3 linked regions of the Drosophila melanogaster genome follow. The protein of the gene in region 2 interacts with the protein of the main gene of each other region in a pairwise test. Each region holds a gene or a part of one and is shown on either strand. Other genes may lie near its edges.

The links.
Region 1: the proteins of Dsk (region 2) and Ptr interact in a two-hybrid assay, tested with the Drosophila melanogaster proteins (one large-scale study listed by BioGRID).
Region 3: the proteins of Dsk (region 2) and CG8507 interact in a two-hybrid assay, tested with the Drosophila melanogaster proteins (one large-scale study listed by BioGRID).

Annotation. Positions count from the first base shown.
Region 1 is NT_033778.4:6,194,569-6,198,329, reverse strand, and holds the start of Ptr (Patched-related), read left to right. Parts: upstream 1-2,009; 5' UTR 2,010-2,678; intron 2,679-3,761. Other genes in the region: CG30432 (uncharacterized protein), read left to right, coding at 111-512.
Region 2 is NT_033777.3:4,189,060-4,192,289, reverse strand, and holds Dsk (drosulfakinin), read left to right. Parts: upstream 1-2,029; 5' UTR 2,030-2,056; coding exon 2,057-2,482; 3' UTR 2,483-2,598; downstream 2,599-3,230.
Region 3 is NT_033777.3:9,789,371-9,793,131, forward strand, and holds CG8507 (uncharacterized protein), read left to right. Parts: upstream 1-2,112; 5' UTR 2,113-2,199; coding exon 2,200-2,421; intron 2,422-2,475; coding exon 2,476-2,691; intron 2,692-2,753; coding exon 2,754-2,964; intron 2,965-3,025; coding exon 3,026-3,387; intron 3,388-3,442; coding exon 3,443-3,571; 3' UTR 3,572-3,728; downstream 3,729-3,761. Other genes in the region: CG12945 (uncharacterized protein), read right to left, coding at 60-511, 584-714, 768-895, 950-1,090, 1,156-1,401, 1,469-1,720.

The sequences.
Region 1 (3,761 bases), on a different chromosome or scaffold from region 2:
ACTTTTCAACGAATCTAGTACACTTTACTCTACGAGTAACGGGTATAATCAGTCAGTTATTAGAAACCTGTCAAATCAGTGAACAAATCTTTTTCTCTAGTATCGCCGGCATGGAAGGCCGCAAAGAATTTCTGAATATTTTGTTGGTCATACAAATCATCTACATTGTGCCGGTTGGGATTATATGTTTGGTGATCGTGGCGTTTCAGGTGACGGGCTATCGTCTCAATGACTTTGTACTTTTCTCCTATATGAACTACATAGAGCAACAAGCCCGTTCGTACACTCCGGAATCTTGGGATAAAGGACTCAACATAATAGTGTGGATCCACGTCGTCATCCTATACGTGGTATTTCGAAAGAGGGAGTGTTTGAGGGTGCAGACTCTAGAGGACACTCGGCGCCAGTTTGAGATCGAAGATCTTTTTCGGATGGAGACTGAGTTCATGGAGCAGCTACGATCCCAAGGCATCGAACTGGAGGATTCCACATTGGATTCGAGCTGCGTATAAGCGTCTTGGCGGCGCATTCAGGAGCCAATCAAATATCTCGTTAATGCCGCCGCCTTGGACAATGTTAATGCTGTATTCATCGTATGAGCGTATATATAGATCGCTCGCTTGATTGCCCAGAATTGAATTCAACATTTGTCCGCCGTGCGCTACACCTACACTGCTCAATTACCAGGCCGATCCAATATAATCCTCCTCGCCCGAGTTGAACGTGCTCGGCTGGCATTACTACACACAGCTTTTATACTATATGTACACATATGTATTATCGCACTGTGAGATAGTTCATTGTTTGGTTCTGCGCATGAGTATATTTTTATCGCGCACTGTGCCCCTTTCTTTCCACCACTTGTGTGCACTTTTTACTGTTTGAAATAAATTGTAAATGATTTTTATTAAAATTTCCGCTTAAATTTTCAGCGGTAATACTGCGCTCTATTTGTATCGCTTCTATTTTTTTGTGATTTAAAAATTTCTTGCGGAAAACAAGTTTGCCGCGCTAATAAAATTATTTTTATGGCGCATAGTTTCGCGATCTTCTCATATCCCTGTACATGGCACAGATCACTAAATCTTTTATAAAACCTCACTCAGCATTTTGTGGTGATGTCACAGGCCCTTTCTCAACAAAAGGCCAACTATTTAAGTTCGGAAATACCGAATTTCCCTCTATATACTTTTATATATAATAATATATTATAAATATTACATTGTATATTGGGATCCCTGATGCCGAAATAATAACGGAATTCGTTGAGGTAAATGAATGGCTTCTTAAATTTTGTGTAGTTCGGATAGAAATGCTTAAGGCACACTTCGCCTCACGACAGTTGTCCACGTGTCTTTAACTTAAGAGAAAGGCCCTGCCTGGAAAGTTTACAACCATTTTTGATTTTGATAAGTGACGACTTAAAATATTATTTCAAGGAGTCAGCACTACTCTGCAAGTGTTTCCAGAACGCGATCATGGCAAATTGTTTGCTTGATTTATGATGATCACTCTGCGGACTTACTCAGAAATTTTCACGTGAAAATTAAACCAAATGCATTTTAAATAAAAGGCCAACCATGCACCGTACACGGAAAAATCGTATCGTAAAATCGTCCCGTGTAAATTCACCATTTGTATTTCCGACCATGATGCACAGAAGCGCACTTCCAACGAAACGCATGTCCATCTGTTTTAGGGTCGCCCTCGTCCGTAGTCGGGCCGAAATTCACCTGAACTCGCGGTGCTAATTTCCATAAAACTTTGCGCAGCCGCAGAAGAAAGTGGCGATTAATGAGCGAAAATGCGACCTTCAGACTGCAGCGGCGCACTGGTGGATGGAAACAGGTATACAAGGCAAAGGAGCGGCACAGATTTTCCCAAAAGTCCCGCCATCCGGTGCACTCACCTGAGAGAGCGTGATATATACATATGTATATATAGAGACAGGGAGAGCGAGATAGAAATTGAGAAAGAAAATCGGGGAGATCGAGCGCTTTGCTACAGGTGAGAGCTGAGCTATAAGCCGAGCGCGGCGAGAGCGCCGAGCCTAACGTAAGACCTCATTCGTTACCGTTACGTGGTGCGAGGCGGTCATGTGCGCGGAACTTGTGTCTCACCTTTCCAGGAACTAGTAAGAGTATTCCAGCTAGAATTTAAATCAAAGTTAATTTGTCAGTGGACAAAAGACGTCGGAAATAACGCCGGACTGACCCATCGGTACGTTAACGGTCACTGAATTCGAATTCGCTATACCGCTACGTAAGTCGCAACGCAAGACGCGATCTGTGCAGCGAGATCTGAAGTCTGAGTGGGTTCTCTCAGTTCGTGATACGGTCTCAAAGTCAGCGGTTGCCGGTCGCTCCGCCATCGCCATCGCCATCGCATCCGTTTCTTTTCTTTTCGATCCGTGCCCGCCAGGGGAAATAATTCGAAATACGATGGCCGAAGGCAGTGCAAACAGTGTGCAATCTTTAATAAATCACTAAGAAATTCTGTGAAAGGGGAATCGGAATCACGCAGAGCCGAGTGCAATTGAAAGGCTCGCGTGTAAGTTGTAGGTCCATTGAAACGGTTGCAGAAGTCCACACACCATATACACCTGTAACACACCTGTCGCACACAAATCTTGGATACAAAGTGAAGAAACTCTACACTCTACATTTCGGCGATACAAGGTATGTCTGAAGATATTTACGCCTCGAACATTCCTTTCGGTATCAGTGCAGTTAATAGATGCGCAGATTTTTCTCGGGGTTGGTGGCGTTCAGGGGATGAAACCAGGCTTGATACGTTTCGGTTATTATTCTGGAAAGTGCGTAGTTCGAGAAAAATACGCAGAGATTATGGTTATTTCCTTAGTCTTCATTAAGAAACAATTAAAAAATATATACCCGCCCAAAATCTCAACCTTTATTTAATTCAGTATCATTGATGTAAAGTGCTTTATAGCATGCGATCTACAACTATTACTATTAACTTTCGGTTCTCATTTAAAAAGGAGCTACCCGTGATTATCCCATTGTAATGTTGATTACATTATTTTGCAACAAAAGATGGTGTTTTCCGAATTTTGTATGTGCTCACATTATGAGTTTCAATAGAAGTAAAGTGGGCTCGGTAACTAATCGCTTTGTTGATGGAAAACAGTTCATTAGTGTCAGAAGCAAGCTGGAAGCAAGCGGTGTTCTCAAAAACTTCATGGACAATTTAAGCTTTATTTCGTTGAACAATTACAATCGCTGTTGGGGAACAAAATTTAAGTGTACACGTTGGTCTCTATTAGCATCAGCAATAAAATCTTATTGACGTTTTTTCCAAACAGCAAGTGCAATTGCAACAATAATTTGCCACTGCGGCCCAAGTCCAACTCGCTGGCTCTTTCATTTGCAATCGGCTGTCGAGAAAGAAACTCAAAACTTTTGACAGGCAAATTAATGAAACTCGAATTGAGAGCGGCTACGATTACAGCGTGCAATTAAAGCAACACACACCTGAGCAACAGAAAGTGGGGCGCGGATCGAAAATCCCCGATCAAAATAATCTGGAAAACGGCCAAGAAATATATATATATATATATATATATATATATATATATATATATTCATATACATATGTGTATGGAAATATCGTCATAAGGTGTTTGCATTTTCGTATTCGGATGCAACGCGAAAGCAAGAGTGATTACATAAACTGAACTTTGGTGATCCGGTTTGTCGGATGGACCTGGCGTTGGGTTGGGTACATAACGGAGGGAGTTT
Region 2 (3,230 bases):
AAACACATTGGATTGGCCACGTCAAAGTCCAGACCTCAACATAATAGAAAACCTCTGGTCATATTTAAAAAGAAAAAGGAGTGCAAACTTATCTAGAAGTCGCGAAGAAACGATTTTGGAAATTCAAACCTTATATTTCAATAGATTATATCCACAGCTTGGTACAGTCTGTACCAAAACGTCTGCAAAAGGTGACGCTAAGGGAGGGTATATTTTTTTATTAATTTGTCATAATTTTTTTTCAATTTATAAAATTTAAATAATTTGCCCAAATACTTATGCCATTGCTAATTTGTAAGAAAGTGATTTTTGTTAAATCAACAATGAAGTTATCCATATGTTTATGTTACCTCTACATTTAACTACGATAGCCTACCTATTTACTAAAATTATTAAACAATTTTGCTTTAAGTAAACAATAAGTTACAAACAAATATATTGAAAATATTTCTTGTCCAAATACTTATGCCCACTAGTGTATATATATGTATGTACTTCCGTAGAGTGCCGCGACTATTAGATACCGCTTACTCAAATAACTGAAGTGCGACAGATGTGCAATCAGTAGAGACGACTCTTTTCTATTAACTTTTTTAACTTCTATTAACTCTTTTTTCATAGGTTTCTACTAAATCAGATTCTAACAGTTCTTGGAACGTAGATAAGCATTGATAAGCTTAACTTAATATCATTAACGAATACGTTCAGAATGTAGGCAACGGGTATCATAAGCAGAATCTTCAGATAAATTACCCGGCACTTATAGGAGGTCTTATTTCTCAATGTCCATTTTGTAAGCTCTTCGACAAGAATGGTTTTCGCAAAGTTATTGGGGATAAACAATATAAGCACAAATAAGGTATGTATTCCGACCATAAAAACGCGTTGTTTGTCTTATTGAAATCTAATGGTCGGTCTCACCGTCACACTGTTTTGTTTTTTGAACGAACGATACCGCTCCCAAGTGAGAACTGCCGGTTGAAGACTTTGTCGACCTCGAAGTAACAAGTCGACAAAATGTGGTAAAAGCTATCGATTAATGGGTTCATCGAATAAGTAATGAGAAAAGAAAATAACTATAATCGATAGGCTTTTACTTAAATTTCATGACGAAAGTTTCGGAGCAATCGGACGGACAGGGTCAGATCGACTCGGCTATTGATCCTGATCAAAAAATATATACTTCAAATGGTCGGAAAAGGCCTTCGGCATTTTACATACTTTATAGGGTATACTAGCCTTTCAAATGTGTAGCCATTGCAGTTTTGGTCAGCATGCGGGTGTGTAGGGGTCACAAGAGTCTACATGTCCAATGGTAATGCCCATGTAATATACATGATTTTCAAATTCACATTACAAACAAGAAATGCTTGTTTGGGCTTTGCTGATGGGTATCGTGTTAATATCAGTTGGAATCATAGGCATATCCGTTAAAAAACCTCCCTTTTGAATTTCGCATTTGGATTTGGTTCAGATCAGCACTGTCAACCTCATGCCCATATACAATGGTTCACAGCTCAGTTTAACCAAAGACAATAGTATATTCTATTCGCAACAGCTTTTAAAATTTAAAAAGAAATATCTTCTGAACATATCTGTAAGTCTCACACTAGCTCACACTTCTTTGCTGGCAAATTTATAAAAATTTGAATCAGAATGTATTTCCGAATATTAAATTTAACCATGGATATGCGCTTTTTATTTAAAATTGTTTGTCTGGCACAGCTACTAGCCCCCTGATATTATGCTGAAGAATGTTTCAGAAAACCACTAGAGTATACTCGCCCAGCGCCCTAATACAGACGGTTACTCATCATACTTAATTCTTTTAGGCATGCCGTCGAATTCAATTATTGTCAGGACAGCATCAAAGTTAGTTTAATCAATCAAGTCAATCACAAGTCAAAGTCAATTTCTGTTATCTCAACACCTCTAAACACTTGACAGCCGCGGTAACGGAATATTAAACAGGCGAGAAAGATGGCCACAAACGCAATCGTATAAAAAGGAAGCGCCAACTTAGATGTTCACCAGTCTGCCAAGGGCACAGTAAAGCATGGGACCTAGAAGCTGTACGCACTTCGCCACGCTGTTTATGCCACTCTGGGCATTAGCCTTCTGCTTCCTGGTGGTGCTGCCGATCCCAGCGCAGACGACTAGTCTACAGAACGCTAAGGATGATCGGCGACTACAGGAATTGGAGTCAAAAATTGGTGGGGAAATCGATCAGCCCATTGCGAATTTAGTTGGACCATCATTCTCTCTATTCGGGGACAGGCGTAATCAGAAAACAATGAGCTTCGGTCGCAGAGTGCCACTAATTTCACGCCCAATAATACCAATTGAGCTGGATCTCCTCATGGATAATGATGACGAAAGAACGAAAGCTAAGCGGTTTGATGATTACGGCCATATGAGGTTTGGTAAAAGGGGAGGTGATGATCAGTTCGATGACTACGGTCACATGCGTTTCGGCCGATAAACACTTGCCATCAGTTTAGTCATTTAGAAAACCGATTATGTATATTGTACATAGAAATTAATCGAGCACACATTTTATATTAACAAGTATATAAAAAGTAATAAATGTTCGCATTCAAAAATTTAATATTTCGTATTATAGCCGAATTCTTAGAGTAAGCTATGATGGATTCATTGAAAAAAGGATTTTTAGTCCCTTGCATATAGGTGTATTGATTCCTAGCAGAATTTATCACCGCGGTAAAAAGCCTCCATTTATCCGGTATATAAAAAAAGGGCTGCACCTTCAATATATAAAAAGTTTTATTTAATTATTTGTGACGAAAGCATTTGAAAGGTTCTCCGACTTTCGAATTGTGAATACCTTTTAAAGACGCATCGGATTTACTTAACAAGAATTATTGTCGTTGATGTATGTTTCCCTTAGGCCCATTTATATACAGCTGTGTTCAGAAAAATAGCAGTGCTTTGGACTTGAGAGTTTAAGATAAAAATTTCCTATGATTTACAGTTTTAATGGGAAATTTTTTTTTATAATATCATTAGGTATTTAATTTCAAACAATTTAACAAATGTTTCACTTTTATTTCTTCAATAGTTTCGAAAATATAGAATAAAACAACATAATAGGCAGAAATTCTGGTGTTCAATGAAATAGCAGTGCTATGAAAAAATAGTAACAAAATTAAACTTGACTTAGAAACGAACTTAGTTTTTCTTTTTAATATGTTAATTCGGGCCTAATACTT
Region 3 (3,761 bases), 5.6 Mb from region 2:
TAAACTGGGTAAAAATCTCGGACATTACACTTAAATTACAAATTGTTTGTTTGCGGCCGCTACACATTATCAATGTTATTATCCTCGTGATCGTCGACCAGCGTGAATCCTTCATCTTCAGCTACACAGCTTTTGCTCTTGCTTTTGCTGCTGGAATCGCTTTCATCTAAATTTTCTTTTTTCGATGGTGTGGTGGGAGCTTCCTGCTTTTCCTCTAGCTCTTGGACGCCCGAAACGTCTGGAATTCGCTGTAGCGACTCCTTTGGAACATTTCTCACGTTAATTACATTTAGCAGCATCTTTAAGTTGTCGCCCGATATGGAGTCGCCTTCGGGCGCCCGTGCATTAATGGACTGGTGAATCGTTGGTGTCCCTTGTGGCGCTGGCTTGTGTAAAAGTGACGCCCATGCTCGGGGGCTTAAAATGTATTTAAAGCACAGCTTTATGGTGTAACCCACTAAAAACACCAAAAGGACTGGTGCAAGGAGGTTATACGGGAAGGATAATCCGGCTATGGGTAAATATGGTAATTAAGTGGTAAGTGGTAATTATTGACTGTGCGAATTCTTGGTTAAATACTTACAGGACAGTTTAGTCATAGTTACCGACACCTTTTCTATCATGATTTCCAACTGCTTGATAAATATGTTATTCATGTACATAAAGAACACTTGATCTGGCATGCAAATGGAAATGCTGATTTTTGCGGATTTTCTGAATGGAAACGATCATCAATCGACTTATTTAATTATATGTTATGGTCTTACTTGATCATTTCTATCTTCTTAGTTTTTGGTGAGGCTTGGTATATGTAGCCTAACAGTCGACCAAACCAGGACGATTCAGGCTCATGGTGATGATTTACGACCTCTATCATCCTATCGATGTCTAATTCCTAATTATAAACATATAATGAGCACAATTTCACACACTTTCAGGCTAGACCTACTCTGTTGCATTCTAAATAAGTCTGAATATATCCGCACAGAAACACGCCTCCTAGTACAATTGAAATTAGTCCGACACGGAAACGTTTGTGCACAATGACGACAAGTGCAATTGCTAATGTTGCATATAGGATAAATTTCACCTAGGAATGAGAAAACCCATTAAATAGCAAATAGTCAAGTTTCCATAAAAAGGCGCAACAGGTACCTCGGTCGTTTGCGTCAGTTCAATTACATCCTTGAAAATATCCACCAATAAGGAGAAAAAGCCGTGTCGGACGTATGAGCATCCGGATCTTCCATTAAACAAAGGAGCCTCCTCGGCACTCTCCAATATCTTAGTCAGCAAAACGTCCAAATCCCGAGCATCCTGCACCCTCTCCAGTTCATCCAGTTGCGATGGGATCAGGGAGAAGAGCAGCGATCGCTTATGGACCGCCGACATAACATCGTACTAATTACACAAAAGTTACACACATATGACGTCATGTCGCCAACTTTGGTCTAAACAGCGATCATACCTGAAAACGCTTGCGCTGGAACAGCAGATTGACGAACTTCTTGAAGTATGTGAGTGCCACGGCATCCTCCATGGCCACTGGAGACACATCTGGACACGTAGGACACTGGCACAATTCACCGGGCTGATTGATATCGTTAACCAGGTCCGACCAGGCGGGATCCGGACTCAGCCAGGACTCATCGTTGCCGCTCTGACAGCATACCCTGTGCAATACCAACAGGAAACAACTGACCGCTGCCTCCGTTCTCATTGTCCTGGTTTCTCAATGTAATCACTCCTAGGTAGTAAGCACTCGATAATAATTATAATTCAGCGCAATTTCGTGGTAAGGCGGCTGATGCAAATTGGCAGTGTGACCAAGTCCAGTTAGCAACATCACAGCGTCACGTCAGTGCTGCAATATCTACTTATCACTTCAGGAAAATGTAGCTTTATATTTATTAGACAAACATGCTTTTATGATTTTTCTTCACTTCTACTGCAAATTGAATTATTTTTATTAAACATCTTTATCAAATAAATCAAACAAATTGTTGTAAATTGACCAAGATCAAAAATCGTAACTGCGAAAAACAAAGCATTAAAATAAAATAAAAGCTAGACTGTCAGCACCAAAGCTTTATGCGATCGCTAGATGGCCACACTGCGTGTTGTGAATAACTGTTTAGCCAGGTCAGCACTGCACCAATAATTGCAAGCTTTAAAACCGAAATAAAAACCACGAGGAAAATGGTTAGGTCAGCTCTCGTTGTTGCAGCCATCGCACTTTCCGTACTTATTGCACTGCAGGGCGTGGATGCCGACAAAAAGCAGAGCAAGAAGTACAGCAAGGAGGCCAACGACCCGCATTTTCAGCAAGTAAAGCAGGAGAAGTATGATCCGGATTTTAAGAGCATCCAGCGGCCATTTCGCATGGCCAAGTTGAATCTCGTGTGGGCCAAGGCGCAGAATGTAAGTGGACACCATAAGATATCTCATATTTAACCGTACTAACCTCGGTTACAGCGCTTAACAGAGCCCAAGCTCAAGTCACTGTACATGGAACTCAAGATCCACGATAAGGAGGAGATCGCTTGGAAGCAGCTCAACTCGCAGCACAAGGACAAAGACGGGCTGAAGGCCGACGAACTGCGCCGCAAGCTCATTGGCATCATGAGCAGCTACGATCTGCTAGAGCATTTTGACGACACTCAGGATACGGAGAAGCTTAAGCCCTACAAGGTACGTATCTAAATCATCTTTCCTAAGAGCAAGAGTTTCTCTACATCCAAGTTAACTTTAAGAAATTCCACGACGCCGAGGAGCGACACAGAAACAAGAGTCTTTTCAAGGACAAGAAACTCAACCGACTTTGGGAGAAGGCCGAGATTTCCGGATTTACTGCAGAGGAATTGAAATCCTTGAAACAGGAGTTTGACCATCACCAGGATAAAGTGGATGTGTACTACAGCTTGCTGGAAAACATTGGCACCGTAGACACCGACAAGCATGAAAGTGAGTTTGGCTAAAAACAGCACGAAAAGCATCAATTAATTTCATTGATTATTCTCGTTAGATGCTATTAACACGGAAGACTTGGACACCTACAATCTGATTTCGAATGATGTCAATGAGAACGACATCAAAACCCATGCGCAAAACGTGAAGAGTTTCGAGAACGACCTTAACACTCTGCGAGGACATCACACGGGCATCAAGGATCACTACGATAGGCTGGAACGCCTGGTGTCCTCCGGTCCACACAGTCAGGACTTCATTGAACCCAAGGTCCAGGGTCTATGGCGAGTGGCCCAGGCTAGCAATTTTACGGTTAAAGAACTGGAGTCCATTAAAACCGAATTGCATCACTTCGAAAGTCGCCTATTAAAGCTGCGTCACTTGCATGCCGAGCATGCTTTGCAAAAGGAGAAATACAAGGTATATGTTTCTTAATATCAATCAAGTTTGTAAGCCAACTAACAATTATTTATAGGGCGAAAAAGTGAAGGACAAAAGCAGCCGCTTTGAGGAAATGGAGGATCAGCTGAAGAAGCAAACTCGCAAAGTGGAGAAGCTCCAGGAGAACATTGAAAAAACCATCTTCAAGCACACCGAGCTTTAATAATTTGAAAGTGAAACACTGAAAGTGCCAAGCGAATAAATTAGATTTAATTGCAACTGTTTGTGTAACGCACAAAAATATTCATTCTTGCTGCTATTCAGCATAGATATAATTTTGATACCAAATATCATTTGAACATAAATAAAATCTCAAGTTTAATTTTGAACTATATACAATCTATTTTGACCTT